Ovis aries: one gene and its partners. The protein of the gene in region 2 interacts with the protein of the main gene of each other region in a biochemical or structural test. Links are inferred from orthologs where the notes say so. Each region holds a gene or a part of one and is shown on either strand. Other genes may lie near its edges.

What was found.
Region 1: the proteins of TEK (region 2) and ANGPT1 form a complex in vitro, tested with the Homo sapiens proteins (6 studies listed by BioGRID and IntAct, with this or other methods). The link is inferred for Ovis aries from reciprocal best matches to the Homo sapiens genes TEK and ANGPT1.
Region 3: the proteins of TEK (region 2) and ANGPT4 form a complex in vitro, tested with the Homo sapiens proteins (2 studies listed by BioGRID and IntAct). The link is inferred for Ovis aries from reciprocal best matches to the Homo sapiens genes TEK and ANGPT4.
Region 4: the proteins of TEK (region 2) and ANGPT2 form a complex in vitro, tested with the Homo sapiens proteins (7 studies listed by BioGRID and IntAct, with this or other methods). The link is inferred for Ovis aries from reciprocal best matches to the Homo sapiens genes TEK and ANGPT2.

The regions. Positions count from the first base shown.
Region 1 is NC_056062.1:69,923,952-69,928,227, forward strand, and holds the start of ANGPT1 (angiopoietin-1), read left to right. Parts: upstream 1-1,463; 5' UTR 1,464-1,983; coding exon 1,984-2,280; intron 2,281-4,276. UniProt on the Homo sapiens protein: Binds and activates TEK/TIE2 receptor by inducing its dimerization and tyrosine phosphorylation.
Region 2 is NC_056055.1:95,909,488-95,913,073, reverse strand, and holds part of TEK (angiopoietin-1 receptor), read right to left. Parts: intron 1,018-3,586; coding exon 730-1,017; intron 1-729. UniProt on the Homo sapiens protein: Tyrosine-protein kinase that acts as a cell-surface receptor for ANGPT1, ANGPT2 and ANGPT4 and regulates angiogenesis, endothelial cell survival, proliferation, migration, adhesion and cell spreading, reorganization of the actin cytoskeleton, but also maintenance of vascular quiescence.
Region 3 is NC_056066.1:59,852,809-59,856,884, reverse strand, and holds the start of ANGPT4 (angiopoietin-4), read right to left. Parts: upstream 2,810-4,076; 5' UTR 2,661-2,809; coding exon 2,352-2,660; intron 1-2,351. UniProt on the Homo sapiens protein: Binds to TEK/TIE2, modulating ANGPT1 signaling. Can induce tyrosine phosphorylation of TEK/TIE2. Promotes endothelial cell survival, migration and angiogenesis.
Region 4 is NC_056079.1:5,662,391-5,665,890, forward strand, and holds part of ANGPT2 (angiopoietin-2), read right to left. Parts: intron 2,524-3,500; coding exon 2,422-2,523; intron 1,659-2,421; coding exon 1,492-1,658; intron 1-1,491. UniProt on the Homo sapiens protein: Binds to TEK/TIE2, competing for the ANGPT1 binding site, and modulating ANGPT1 signaling. Can induce tyrosine phosphorylation of TEK/TIE2 in the absence of ANGPT1.

The DNA of each region.
Region 1 (4,276 bases), on a different chromosome or scaffold from region 2:
TGACTTGTGACTGATTAGCCTTACTTTGATTCAGTTTTCCTATTGATAAAAATAGAGTCAAAGGTAATATTCCTGACTGAGGTTTGTTGGGATAGTTAAATAAGATTGTGTGTATAGTAAGTTCTTAGCAAGTGTCATTCTTATTATGGCATATGAGTAACATAGCCAACAAGGAGACAGGGCAATATCAGGAAGAGGCCGCAAAGGCGGTTCAAAGACTCTTGCTATGTTTGGTATTACTCGCTCCTGTATCTGTCAGTTCAGAAATTTGTTATTTTGTGTGGAAAGGACTGATAAATCTTGGCACAGTTTCCCCCCAAGTAAATCACATTATTTCTGAAATTTGTTTTGCACTCTCCTTTAGCTTCTTTCCACACATCAGTCTCTAACCCGTACCACTTTTCATCTACTGCCTTCTGCCTCCATTCCAGGACATGAGAGTCAACATCTGTGGCTTCTGTTTTCACACCATGATTGCAGTTGGGAAACTCCATTCCCCATAATCCCTCCCAGTTCTTGGTGAAAGCCTCTGCTTATAATTCATGTTTTCCACACAGAGCTAGTAAAGATCTCAGTGCTATAAAATTAATTCTGTAATTATCACCTGTTCTTTATGTTCAAATGTTTGTTCAAATGTTTACACCATACATTTAAGAAATCATCTTCTGATACTTTTTATTCGTACTTAATAGAAGCAGAGATTTCTCCCATACAGCTCTATGCTGTCTCGTTAACACACCTGATCTGTTTGTTCTCAGGTAGTTTTCCTGTGCAGCCACGGGAGAGTTTATGTAGAACTTCCGTACCAGCATTAAAGATAGCCATAGCAGTACCAAAGAGGTCCTTGTGAAATATATGATTGGGATGTACCACAGGAATTAATAATTCTCAGGCCACTGTCTTAAATGGTAACCACAGTGTTTTTGTAAGGAAGTTGCTCAATTTATGTACACAGAACACACAGGGCTGCATTCTGACTCGGGAGCCAGTTTTATTTAAAATTTATATCTCAGAAAATACTAAAATTATTCTACTTAATATGCATATGCTATATTCCTTTGAGTGACATTGTGAAATGTTTTGCTAATTTGACCCTTCCTGATAATTTCCTGAAATTCTAAGTGAATAAATGCCATCTCTAAAAATGGTTTTAATGTCTTTTTCCCCAGAGTAAAGAATTATTTTTTAAAAAAAGTAATAATTGTACAGATTCATCATCCACTATAAAAAATAATTTTCTTGGAAACTGTGCCAGTTTTCTTCTTCAGGTTCCCCAATTAAGTAAAACTTTAAAGACATACTTCTAGTTTGCTGGATTTTAGTAGGTCAGCATACACACCAAAAGTGTATTAAGGTGGACTGCTCTATTTATTGATTTTCAGTGAATCTGCTAAAGGCTCAAGGCAATTGTCTGCGGAAGGGGCGGGAGGGCCATACACGATCGAGGTCATGCGCATCTAGCCAATGTGTAAGACGATCCAGCCGCTTCGCTTCAAGCCATCAGCAATCCTTAGCATAGGGGCACCCTCATGCATTCTTGTCAAGTCATCTTGTGAAAGGCTGCCTGCTTCCAGCTTGGCTTGGATGTGCAACCTTAATAAAACTCACTGAGGTCTGGGAGAAAATAGCAGATCTGCAGCAGATAGGGTAGAGGAAAGGGTCTAGAATATGTACACGCAGCTGACTCAGGCAGGCTCTACGCTGAACGGTTACACCGAGAGGAAACAATAAATCTCAGCTACTATGCAATAAATATCTCAAGTTTTTAACTAAGGAAACTATCATTACGGTGAAATTAAAAAAAAATACGATTTTAGAACAAAGCTAAAAATGGCTAGTTTTCTGTGATTCTTCTACAAAACTTTCTTTGAAAGGGAAAAGTCAAACAAACAAGCAGTTTTACCTGAAATAAAGAACTAGTTTAAAGGTCAGAAGAAAGGAGCGAGTTTTGCGAGAGGCACGGAGAGAGTGCCGGCAAGTACAATGACAGTTTTCCTTTCCTTTGCTTTCCTCGCTGCTATTCTGACTCACATAGGGTGCAGCAACCAGCGCCGAAGTCCAGAAAACGGTGGGAGAAGATATTACCGGATTCAACATGGGCAATGTGCCTACACTTTCATTCTTCCAGAACACGACGGTAACTGTCGTGAGAGTACGACAGACCAGTACAACACAAACGCTCTGCAGAGAGATGCTCCACACGTGGAACAGGATTTCTCTTCCCAGAAACTTCAACATCTGGAGCATGTGATGGAAAATTATACTCAGTGGCTGCAAAAAGTAAGTGAACGCTTTCAGTTTCTAATTGCACGGAGCCTTTTCTGTTCTACCGCTGCAACTAACTTAAGAGTTCCTTAGGGGGCCATTTGTGTGTTTACCTTTTGCTCCAGGGGGGCAGTGTTTGCAAATGCAAGACGGCTCTCTCCCTATGACTTAAAGGGGTGAGCCAAGATTTTGTAGTCTTGTGCCTCTGAAAGTATGGTGGCACCCCATTTGTGTGCCTAACACTGGCACATTTTGTGACATTTTTGGTTTTCTCTTATTTAAAATTCAGCTTGAGTTTTTCTGACTGTCAAAGCCCAGCTTAAAAAAAAAAAAAACCAAACGTGTATGTCTTGAGTAAGTTGGTGAAAAAATTAAATAATAACAACAGTACTATTAGGATCAAATAAATTTTACACCCTGAAATTTTGTGCAGCTAGGACAGAAAGTCATCACCAGATACTTATTTTTCAACCTCTAGTAAAGTTAATATAAAATGTGGATAAATACAAAGTATGATATTTGATTGAAGAAATTGAATAAGTATGTAAAGGAAACAGTTTCAGCAAGTAGTAGAATAGTAAAAGACTGATTTCTGTCATATATTTCTTCTGTCCTTGAGAAAAAAATCAGGAAAATATATTTGAATGTGAACTCATCAGGAAGAGGTTGTTTGCCCACTGTGAAAAGACATGCACCTGCAGATTTGGGCTGAACACGACATGTAGATTTTGCTATGTCCCTAAAGTGCCTCTTTCCTCAAGACATTATAGTCACACACAGTGCAATGTGGGGATCCAGATAAATGTTAATGTTGAGTATGCATTTAATTCCAATTTATAAAAATCAAGCATCATATTTAGTTATTTCTCTATAAACCATTTTAAAGTTTTTGTTGAAAATATGCCAGTGAAAAATAACACACTTTCTGCAATTCCTTCCCTCTTTGCTCTGTGTTTAATTGTGTAACAAGTAAGCAGCAGATAACAAGTGTGTTCAAATGTGTCGCTGGAAGGGTGACAATGTCAGTGTCCCACTTGTGGAAAGCTTCTCCCCCAGGGATCTTTGCTAAAAATTCACTTGATGTGTAGGGTAGGAACACAGGCAGTCTAGTCTTCTTTATGTTAGTCTGTTAACAGAACAAACCCTTTAAGAAGATAAAAGATAGGGAAAGGACAAATGCTCTTTTTTGTTTCTGTGTGGTCACACTCACTTAGATCACCTCCTGCTGAATCATGCCAAGTAATAGTTATTTTACTTTTGTCCACTAGGGACTGAACTAAGATCACTGTTATTTTATTTGACAAGTTAACTAAACCTTAGTAGTTTTATTCCAACCTTGGAATTTTAGTTGATCTTCCTATTGTAGGTTACAGGTGAAAAAAATACATTGATAGGCAAAATAATAGAAAACAAACAATTCTGAAGTCTTTTGATAACATGGCTTAAATTTCAGGCACTAATTAAATGTAGCTTAAATTTCAGGCACTAATTACAGCAGCAGTTTATAATAGGATTTTTTTTTCCTTTCACAAAACTTATTTCCATCATGAACAAATGAATTTGGTTGAATAGCTTATTACTATTCTCAATATACTGTTCATATAGTTTTAAATGAGAATTTAACCATTATAAATTAGTCTGGAGTCATTGAGGAAGGTGGAGAGGGAAATTTAGTTCCAAATTGTCTTCAGTGAGTTATTCTACCAAAAATGTAATATTTTGTTTGCTTAAAATATACAATCCAAATGATGATTTAAGCATGAAAATACATATTTTTATTGTTGTTGTGCAGTTATTTAACAGTAACAGGATAAAGACATGATTCTACTGGGTTTAAATCATGCACATGCTTCATATGTTAATATTTGAAATACATTTGATTTTTGTTTGTATTATTTTTGGTCAAGATGATGGCATACTTTTCAGATTATAGCCAAGCATAACTATGAACATGTTTTTTGGTGAAATTGACCCTTGCTAGCATGAATCAAGCAGAATGTATGCTGACAAT
Region 2 (3,586 bases):
GAACAGTTTGAAAGAAAAGTTGTTTTATTACTCTCAAATATATACCGTAATGCTAAGGATTATCTGTTTTGCAGATTTTCAAGCAAAGTTCCTTGTCTTTTAAGATTAGGAGAGATCTATCTGTAATGAATCACCATCTGCTTAGTAAATAACTCCACTGAAAGGAAAGGTAGGGATCCCTAGTGGTCCAAAGGTTAAGAATCCTCATGCCAATGCAGGGGACATGGGTTCAATCCCTGGTCTGGGAAGATGCCACATGCCGTGGAGCAACTAGGCCTGTGTGCCACAACTACTGTCCACATGCCGCAACCGCTGAAGCCGGCGAGCCCTGAGAGACCTTGCTCTGCAACAAGAGAAGCCATCACAATGAGAAGCTCACACCCTGCAACTAGAGGGTAGCCCCTGCTCAGTGAGTCTAGACAAAGCCTGTGCACAGCCACGAAGACCCCGGAGAACCGAAAATAAACAAACTCTTTTAAATACAGGAAAGGTAAATCGCAGGACAGGTCTGCCTGAATTATTGTTAGTCCAAACATATGGAGCATTCATAAATATTGCGGGTCACTAAAATGATTTGAGGTGTTGGGGAGAGGGCACTCATTGGCCTCTACTTACAACTAACTACCTGTCATGGTTTCTAAGAAGCAGACTTGAAGTGATGGGAGCTTAATCTAATTGGCGGCCACCAAGCATCATTCAGGCAAGCCTGGGGCAGCGTAAGTTACTTACTGTCGCTAAGCGTCCAAGCGATGAGATCTTCACTCCATTCCCCCTGGGCCTTGGTGTTGACTCTGGCTCGGACTATGTACTGCTCCCTGGGGTGTAAGTTGTTAAGCAGCACTGAAGTCAAGTTGCCTGGCACTTTAATATTCTGCTGATCACTATTCATTTGCACAGATCTCCTCTCGACTTCAACATAAAAGTCATCTTCTGAGCTTGGGAATATTGGTTGCCAGGTCAAATTTAGAGTGGTCTGACTTTTTGGAAGGAGACTGAGACCTCTTGGAGGAGGAAGACCTAGGAGAAACCAGAAGGATCATTGTTTTATATGAAGTGAAGCTAACAACAGCCCCCAAGGACAACCTTGGCTTCTAGAATAATATACAAGCTAGCAAAGAAACAGCCACTAGCAGTCATGAAATACTTTTTCCCCCTACCAAAATAGCAAAGCTTTAAAATATTAGTGTGTAGTTTGAGTAACTGTAAGACAAAATACAACCCCTCTGAAGGACAACTTGGGAATATTTTTCAAGAGCCTTAGAAATGGTCATATACTTTGTATAATCTGACTACCAGGGATTTATCCTGAAGAAATAACTCAAAGGAAGCAAAAAGGCTAGGGACATGAAGATGTCCCTTACAACATTATTTATAACAAACAATCATAAGAAACCTAAGTGCTCAAAGTAGGGAAATGCTTTAATAAATTTTGATATAGCCACCCAAGGGATTAAAGTATTATTGTGAGAAGTACAGAAGCCTCTCCAAAACTTGTAACACATGAGAAATACTCTAATTTCCACTTGGGAAAAGTCATGTCTACAAAGAGGAAGGAAACTGAAAAAATTGGAAACACTGGATTTGCCAAAGTTGTGGGGTTGCAGGTGAGCATTCAGTGTCTCTGTTCCCATTTTGAGCAAAATGTTTTAAAGCAATTTCAGGGTTACATCCCCTTAGCAGGGACAATTTCACATGTGATAACACAGCGATGGCAGGGCCAGCCTCTGATCACATCAAGGTTTGGCTCTGACCACAGGCTGTGTGGCCATAATTACCCGCAAGAACCTGAGTCACCAGAGAGGTAACTGAATGGAAACAACGTGAGTTGTGAAATCAAAGAGGCAGAAGCATGCCCCTTTAGTTCTGTGACCTTTGGAAAATTTATGTAGCATGAAATAAAAACACTCACCTTCCAAATTCAAGAGGAAGAATGAGATAATGGAGATGAAAATGCTTGGAAGGTGTTTGGGTTCCATCAACATTTTCTCCCTCCCTTCCTTCCTATCTTATCTTGTATCAATGGACAGAGAAGGAATCTGCAAGTTTTCAACTAGTAACAGCACACTGATATTTTAAACTCCAGATATAAAGTATTTTCAAAACACAGAATAGGGATCCTCTCCTCATGCATTTTCAGTGGGGACATTACTGCCCCTAACGGGGCAAAAATTGGTCCTCGGGGTATGAGAAAATTTTAGATAATTACAATGGTTTACGAAGGACCACAATATATAAACAGATTTATGGTATTAAAATTCATGGCAGAAGAGACATTAAAACAAAACAGAGATGGTATCTTAAGGACAAAACTATCTAAGAAGCTCTTTAGAGGGTTATAATTAAAAATAAAAATAATATAAAGAAGTGGAAACAAACAAATGTATATATAACAATCACTTTGCTGTACACCTGAACTAACACAACATTGTAAGTCAACTATACTCCAATACAATGAAAAAGTAAAAACAAAAAATAAAGTAAGAAGGCTGAGAAACTTGGTCAGAGGTGACAGGAAGTGTCTATTTCCACTCCTCAGGAGAGGGTCTCTCACTAACAGCTTTGACCACCCATAGACGAGGGAGAACCAGCAATCAGGTATGCCACCTGCTTGGCACTACGCTACAGGTCTCGTTGGTCTTTTCTCCATAACCTTTGCAAATTGCAAGAGGTGATGTCACCTCCTTTTGCTCTTCTCTAAAGTTCCAAAATAAGCCACCTGGAATGAGTAGGCAGGCTTATAACGACACAACAGACGGAAAGAGGGCTGATGGTGTACAGCAAACCTGGAAACCTTCTGAGCCTGTGCCTTGTACAGAAGAGCAGCCCCATAAATGGTCATTTCCTCTTTCCCCTCCCTTTGAGAGCATGGCTTACCCTTCACCCCTCCCTACCTGCCCTCTTTCTGCCGTGTGTTCAGAGTGTGTCCTGTCCCCTCCCCTCCTGGCCTTCCCGGCCTTTGCCCTCAGTCAATACACTTATAAATAGTGCAACTGCCAAATGAATTTAAAAACAAACATCAGCAAAATTCAAATGATGGGAAAAGATGAACCTTCAAGAATTCCCTTCCCACCCACCCCTGAGAACTACTTTGAAATATTCCAAGAGACCTCTGAATACATCCTGGCTGGAACATATTCTGAGCGCTGAAGACAGCACACTGTGGATCTGTTAAGTGTTTTATGTTCTGTTCCATAAATACTTTCCATCTGAGTCAGATTATGCCCTTCCCCTTTTGATTCATCAGCACTGGCCTAGGAGAGAATAAGCTACCATTTGCTTTGTAGCAGCAACCTGATGGCATTTCAGGGGCCTCTTGCATCACAGTCATGGAGGTTCCTTTTATCCTCTAAGTCATATTGTTTCCAGGGTTATTTTCTTTTTTAAGATTTTTTTTTTTAATGTGGGCCATTTTTAAAGTCTTTATTGAATTTGTTGCAATCTTGCTTCTGTTTTATGTTTTGGTTTCTTGACTGCAAGGCAAGTGGGATCTTACCTCCCTGACCAGAGATAGAACACGTACCCCCCTGCACTGGAAGGCAAAGTCTTAAGCATTGGACTGCCAGGGAAGTCCCCGCCAGTGTTATTT
Region 3 (4,076 bases), on a different chromosome or scaffold from region 2:
TGAATACAGAATGGACTATTGGGGTCTGGGTAGAAATGGAGCCTGGGACATCCTTTGTGATGACCATCCAATAGGAGTTGGAGGTGGCTGGTCCAGGATGGAGGTAGGGACAGCAGTCAGAGTGGTAGATGAGGACTGGCTGATGGAGACCGTTTCTGGAAGGATGATATTGGTTAGTGATACTAAATTTGCCAAGAGGTCAAGTGAGATGAAGACTGAGCCGTGGCCTCTGGATTAGGAAATGGGAAGTGGGAGGCTGCTTCGGGAAAGGATGGGATGAAGGAGGAAGTGGGGGCAGAGCGTGCAGACTTCTGAGAGCCAGGCCAGAGTCAGAAGGTGTGGGCTGGAGAAGGGTCTTGTTCTCTCTCCTCCTCCTTCTCCGATTCCTCTTTCTTTCTTTAACATGGGAAATGCAATTAAAGATTGAGGGGAAGGAACAGCCTAAAGGGAGGAGTTGGTAGAGACACAAGAGGCATGGTTGGTTTGAGGAGGTTCAGGGATTGCAGGGGATGTGACCCACAGGTGTGAAAGAGTGACTCTGGTCCATGGAGGAACCCTTCCTCTGAGCCAGAGAAAGGCCCTGGGGGCTGGTGGGTGCATAGGTAGGCCCCATGTCTCTTTGAAGTAGGAGATCCATGGTCTGGTGAGAGGATGGGCACAAAGTGAAAATGGAGGCTGAGGAGGAGACGAGGCTTGGCATGACCCTTACAGGACGGGAAACAGCTGCCTGAAGACACACAGATTTCAAGGCAGCATGGAGCCCTCTGGGATCCAGTGTATGAGGCCAAGAGCTCCCTTGAGGGGGGACCTAAGCATGGGATGGTGGCAGCTGTAAGTGTTGCAAGGTAAGAGGGGCAAGTAGGCAGCGACTATGAGAAGATGGTGAATAGGAGGCTGAGGGGATAGATGGTCAGGGCAGGAACGAAACAGTTTAAGTGTGTATTCGAGTATGTGCACAAATCAGCTTGGTTAGATAAGTGTAACTCTCTACCTGGGAGATGGTCAACCCAGGGTATGCAGAAGGCCATCCTTTAGAAAACAGGAGGAAGCCACCGGAACTCTAATTTACGTGATTTCATGTTATCTTCTTAAAGTTTTCATTTGTGTCATACCTAGTAAATATTATATTAATAAGGTGCACAAATACTAAATAAATATGCATGTACCGGGGGAGCGACACATTGTTTGCTCACCAGGCAAACAATTTGAACAATTTGAACCATGGGATAAAGAGGGACTGCTCCCCATCTTGGACATCATAGGATGCTTTCCTCACCCCACCCAGGGCTGAACCTGCTTTGTTCACCTCAGTTTCTTGCCTAGAGCCTGGCACACAGTAGATGCTCAGAATATCTGCTGAAAGAATGAGGACAGGGGATCCTAGAGTGGCCCCAGCATTGGGCCAAAATGACAATGGGGCCCTCAGCCCCCTCATCTCTGCCACCCCATATCCAGTTCATCAGCAGAGCCCATTAACTTCCCCTTCAGAATATACCAGAATCTGACTGGCCACACCCCCTCCTGCTGTCCTGTATCTGGTCATGCCTCCATCACTTCTTGCCTGGTCTCTTCCTTGGGCTCCCAGCATTAAATCTGTCCCTTATAGTCCCTATTCTGTTAAAACTAACTCAGGTGTGTCTCATCTGCTCAAAACCCTGCAATGGCTCCTGTGAAACTCAGAGGAAGAGCCAAAGTCCTTCCCGCGGCCCTCAAGGCCCAACATGGTCTGCCCTCCCCTCACCTCTTGGATTTTGTCCCTCAACCCTCTATTGCCCTCCTCTGCTCCAGCCATGCTGCTGTTCCCCAGGTACCCCAGCTACCTTCCCGCCACACAGCCTCTGCACTTGCTGGTCCCTTGGCTGGAAATAGCCTCCCCCTAGAAACCTTCCCAGGTTGCTCCATCACTTCGCTCATTCTCTGGTCTCAAATGTCACCTCCTCTGAGAAATCCTCTCTGATTATCTGACTTCAGATCGCCACCTCTGGTCACTCCTTGCCTTTTTCTTTCTCACTTTGCTTTACCTCCGACAGAGTACATCTTGCTCATCCCTTTATTGTCTCTTTCCTATACTGGTCCAGAAGGGGATGTACTCTTCTGCTTATGGACGGGACTGGTCCACACTGGATGAATGAGTGGCAGCTGGGGAGTTAGTTCCCAGTTCTGTCTTCTCCCAGTCTTGCTGTGTGGCCTCAGACTCATCTCTGCCCCTCTCTGGGCCTCATCATTCCAATATGTACAATCCAGAGACAAGGGCCCCATTAGCCTGGCCATCTGTGTCCAGGGCAGGGCTCTGGGGTAGATGCTCCACCTGCTGTTCGCTGCCCTCACCCCGCTGCAGACCCAGCCCTTACCTTCTGCAGCCACTGCGTGTTGTTCTCCAGCATTTTTTCCAGCTGTCGCATCCGCTGGCTCGGCCAGTCTCCTAGGTTCAGTGCGGCCGCCGGGGAGTCCCTCTGGAGACTGTTAGAGGCCCCGAAGGCCTCAGGCTCGGGTGGGCAGGGCTCAGGCTCTGGCAGCACGAAGGTGTAGCTGCATTGGCCGTGCTGGACTCGGTGGGCCCGGCGGCGCCCGGTAGCCTCCTGCCCCCTCCGCTGGGCCACGGTTGTAGAGGCCACAATGAGAAGGAGGCCACCCAGCAGCATGGCTGGAGGGGAGGGCATCCAGAGATGTGGTGATGGTGAGGGGTGTCGAGTCAGAGCCCTGGGGCTGGGCCTGTCCACCACCTATCTCCGTGCCCTGTTGGCACCCACCGCTGGCCAACAGTGGCCAGGCTTGCCTGCACAGACGCCGCAGCTGCAAAGCCCTGTTTGGCCAAGCTCTGTCCAGGCGGCTATTTATAATTGTTCCAAATACCACAGCTGCTCCGCTTCCTCCCACCGCCTTACACTCCCGCCCCCAGACACGCCCTCACCTCTGCTCTTCCCTCTTTCCCTTCCTGCCTCCTCGCGCGCGTGTCCACACACTGCTGCTATGTCCCTCCACTGGCTTGCTCTGCCTGCCTCGCCTCTGAGTCCTTTTATGATCCAGTGGAGGCCTGGCCCCCTGCCAGAGGGGAGGAAAGAAAACAAGACACACACACACTCACACACACACACACACACACACATACCCCAAACCCGCAAGCTGCCCGCTTCGGAAAACCAAAGGCAACTGAATTCTCGTTCTGTCTCTGTCTTTCCATGTCTCTCTCTCTCCAACCTCTCCTCGCAAGGCTGAGATCTCAAATTTCAGCCCCCAGCGCCTTCGCCTTCTCCCCCTCCACCTACCCCTTCTGATTTCGTGTTAGCCTTGGAACACAGCAGAGTGACCTTAGACAGAGCAACGGGGAGGGGGGCAGAAGGGTGAGGCTGGAGAGGAGGCAGCCAGTTCAATCTGTTTCTAGAGACAGAGAAAATCCTTGCAAGGCCAGGGAAGTGGGTGCCCCAGCCAGGCTCCCATCCTCTTCTCCCTTGGGGCCTGGAGGGGCTCCGGTGCTGTGATAGTAATGAGAGCATGTTCTTGTCTTGAGACAGATAGTGCTGGAGCTGCCTTTGGCTGGAATGGGCAAGTAGATTTCGGGGAGGAGAGCCTGAGGTACAGCAGTGTCTTGACCAACCCCCAAGTTAGAGGCTACTGCTGCTGCTGCTGCTAAGGCACTGTGGGCTCTAAATCCTACTCCCCAACCACTGACCCTGAGACCTCGTGCGGGCAGCTTCACCTCTCTCAACCTCCATACCCTGAGGCGGAAACCTCATCTCGTGCATGAGGAATGTATATGAGTTCTCAGCATGGGGACAGAGGAATTTTTGACTTACTTGTTTACCTGTTTACTGATTCAAATCCAGGCTCCACCACTCATCAGCTATGTGAGTTTGGGCAAGTCTCTTAACCTTTCTGTGCTTCTGTTTCCTCTTGGTGAACTGAGAAATAGTATTAAAACTATCCACTTCACAGGGTGTGAAAATTATAAGTCAAAGCAGTGCTGGCACAAGGCGAGCGCACAGTAGGTGTTTTGGTTGTTGTCAGTGCCATAGTTACTATGCATCGCTCCTTCTCCAACCTGCTGGAATATAAAGCCCAAGAGGGCCAATATTTGC
Region 4 (3,500 bases), on a different chromosome or scaffold from region 2:
TCTGTGTGTGATGAGAGCCAGTGGCTGACTTCTTAGAAGTCGTGTCAAAGCTTGTCAGAAATCATGCCTTCAGAAATGCTTCTGAATTTTGGCCCACTGTTCAGCAGGACACTGGACGTTGTGCACATCTCAGGTAGCTGTCAGCAGGCCGGCTTTCAGCCCGTTTTTTCTCGAGCTATCCATTGCGGCCTCCCCGAGAAGCCAGCTCAAGGACTTTAAAAATCGCAGGTTCCCCCCCGCCACCCCCAAACTACTGAGGCCTTGGAACTTTCATCGAGCAGAGGCTCTGTACTGGGCGTCGGTGGAGTTCAGCCAGGACTGCAGGCCAGCTGACGTCTGTCTCCTGTGATGCTGCTGTGGACCTTCTCTTGCCTGACAGCAGAGCAGGTGTCTCACGTGTGCCCTGCGGCCACCGGAGCCACGCCTCCCCCCGTTCTTCCCCAGCCGGTGCCTTCTAGACCCCGTCAGGATGTGCTGGCACCTGACCCCTTGTGTTGTATCTTCCCAGACAGGTTCCTGGGTCACCTGCAGGCACCCCGTCCCCCTGAGCCCCACCAGCAACAGGCGTCCTGAGCCCCTGCGTGACAGCGAGACGCCCCGACCCCTGCACTGCCCTGGCCTCGCACAGCAGGGTGCAGGGCCCCTTTGCTCTGCCTCCACTCTCAGGCCACTCTAGCGCCAGAGAGCCAGTTCCCATTCAGAACTGTGCGTGCTTTTCTTGGAACATTTGAGATTAGCTCCGCCAAGCAGGTGGGAGGACGCAAATACTGAGGCCAAGCTGCAAACCAGCCCGTCTTCCTGCAGCCCAGGGGAGAGGACCCAGCTGCCCAACCACCTAGCTAGTCATGCCTCTCTTGAGCGTGGAGCGGAACGCAACAACTGAATGTGGTTGAACTTCACAAAGATAGATTTAACTTTTAAAACCTTCTAGAGGGAAACAGCATACTCATGCATCTGCTAGGCTTCCCTGTGGCTCAGACAGTAAAGACTCTGCCTGCCAAATGCAGGAGACCCGAGTTCAGTTCCTGGATTGGGAAGATCTCCTGGAGAAGGAAATGGCTACTCATTCTGGTATCCTGGCCTAGAGAATTCCATGGATAGAGGAGCCTGGTGGGCTACAGCCCGTGGGGTCAGTTGGACACAACTGAGCAACTCACACACACATACATCTGCTGTGTTATTGGCATGATATCTTATAATAAGGACACAACATGCATTTATTCTGCAAATAATTACCTGCCAGGCAGGGTTCATCTGTGCTCTGAGGGTACAGAGCAGACACAACAGGCATGATTCTGTCTCATAAAGCTCCCCTTGTATCGTTAGACTGCTAAAACTAGAGACACTTGGCTGAGGGCAGCAAAGAACTGAGAGACAAGCTGCTTTTCCCCATTAAGGTAGCCTGTGAGTCATTCAGATTCTGGTTAATACAGTGGGCTTCTGACTTCAGCAGGTCTTTTAACTCGCTTCAGTGGCGTGTAGTTTCCTCACCTGTAGTTGAGCTCTTCACTCGAGAGATGGAAGTGGTCATACAGCGAGTACGCCTCGTTCCCTTCCCAGTCTCTCAGGTGTATTTTCAGCACGTAGCGTTTCTGACCAGTCACTTGTGAAACAAACTCATTTCCCAGCCAGTGTTCACCCGAAGGGTTCCCGAATCCCTGAAATTCAAGTTGAAAAGGTCGCTTACTTCACCTATTTTTCTTTTCCCCCTTCACATATTTGAAATCAGTAGTCCATCAACTTAACATAGAACAAGCATCAAACATTCAGCAGAAATTCCTTCCTGTGCTGTGAAACGTTGGGGCCTTCCATATAAGGTTTTTAAAAAATCATTGTTAAGAAGCTAAGCTGTTACCAGAAGGAGATTGGTATTGGAATAATTAGAACAACTTGGAGAACCCCCAGTAGAAACATTGTCATAGGGACCTCCCTGCTGGTCCAGTGTTTGAGGCTTCAGTTTCCAATGCAAGGGGTCTGGGCTCAGTCCCTGGTTGGGGAGTTCAGATCCTGCATGCCTGGTGGCCAAAAGCCAAAACATAAAACAGAATCAGTATTGTAACAAATCCAATAAAGACTTAAAAAAATGGTCCACATCAAAAAAAATCTTAAAAAAGAAGCATCACTATAAACACCTTAGTTTGTAGAGGTGTGAAATGCTGTGAAGTAGTCTACCCCTAGAAATGCTGAGCCCACTAGCTTTCCCATGCCTTTGTTTTGATGTTTCATTTACATTACATCGACTGGACCATTCTTTAACGTGGTGGCAGAAACACCAGTTAGAAAGATCTTTTTGGTTTCAAAACAAAAAAAATGGTCAAAAATCATTGGTTAGTTTTAGATTTGTGGTGGTAGTCCTGCACATTGTCAAAGTTAGTTTCCACAAGGAAAATTGTTTTCAGATGGTTTAAAGAATGTCCATACCACTTTATATTCTTTCCAAGTCCTCTGAAAATCAACACTGCCATCTTCACGTCGCTGAATAACCGTCCACCCACCTCCAGCCGTTTGCATGTCACAGTAAGCCTGCAACGGGAACGCACAGTTACTGCCTGGGAAACGTCCGGACTTACATAACAGAAACGAGATGAACAGAGATACTTAGAATACGGCCAGAGCTGATGGGGTTCTCTGGGGTAAATCTCTGTGGTCTTCCAAGAGGCAAAGGATTTTAAGGAAATTGAAAACCATGAATTTAAAATGATGATGAAAAGTAAACAGTAACATAACACGACGTGTGGATGAAAATAGGACCTTGTCATCATCTGTTCTAGGCTAGAGCCCCACCCCGACAGCTGACCCAGAGATCTCTGTTCCTTAGAGGTTTTCTGGAATGGGACACGTTGGCTGATTGGCTCCAAATCTCTCATCTCCAGCCTGCAGAGATCTATTGCTTTGTGTCCACATCCCTGAAAACCTTTATGGTGGCTGCCAGTCCCAATCACCTCTCCAGAGAGTTGTGTAAAAGGGAGACTCTTGGATCGCAGAGCTTCTAAGACTGCTGTGATGCCGTGGAGCTGTTAGGCTTCCTCTGAGTGTGGGATCAAAGTCAGGTTCCATGGTTCACCCGTCAGAAGGAGGGACTGGAGGCTTTGTGTGTGAACCGAGCGGGGCCTGGCGGTTCCGCCTACAGACCCCGACCTCATGCTTCTCTCTACCTTGCTCACGGCCCCTTTTGTTTCACTTCCCTACTCTTTTGATTTCTGCTTTTAAATGGGCTTGGTGGGTTTAAACTTTGCTTAGGACATGGGATTCCTTCTTGATCTAAGAGCATCCATGCTTAATTTCACCTCAGCTGGAATTTTATTATGAAATTAAAAACCCCTGAAAATAAGATTACACAAATAGTTTTAAATAATGAGATTACAGTAGAACGAAGACGTTTTCCAAAAAGTTAAGATTAATTTCCCTACAGCCTCCAAGGTAGTAAATATGAAAGTTAAGGTTCAAAACCAATGAAAAGTATTCTTTCTTTGTTGTCCTCCATGGTCTTTGGGGATAAT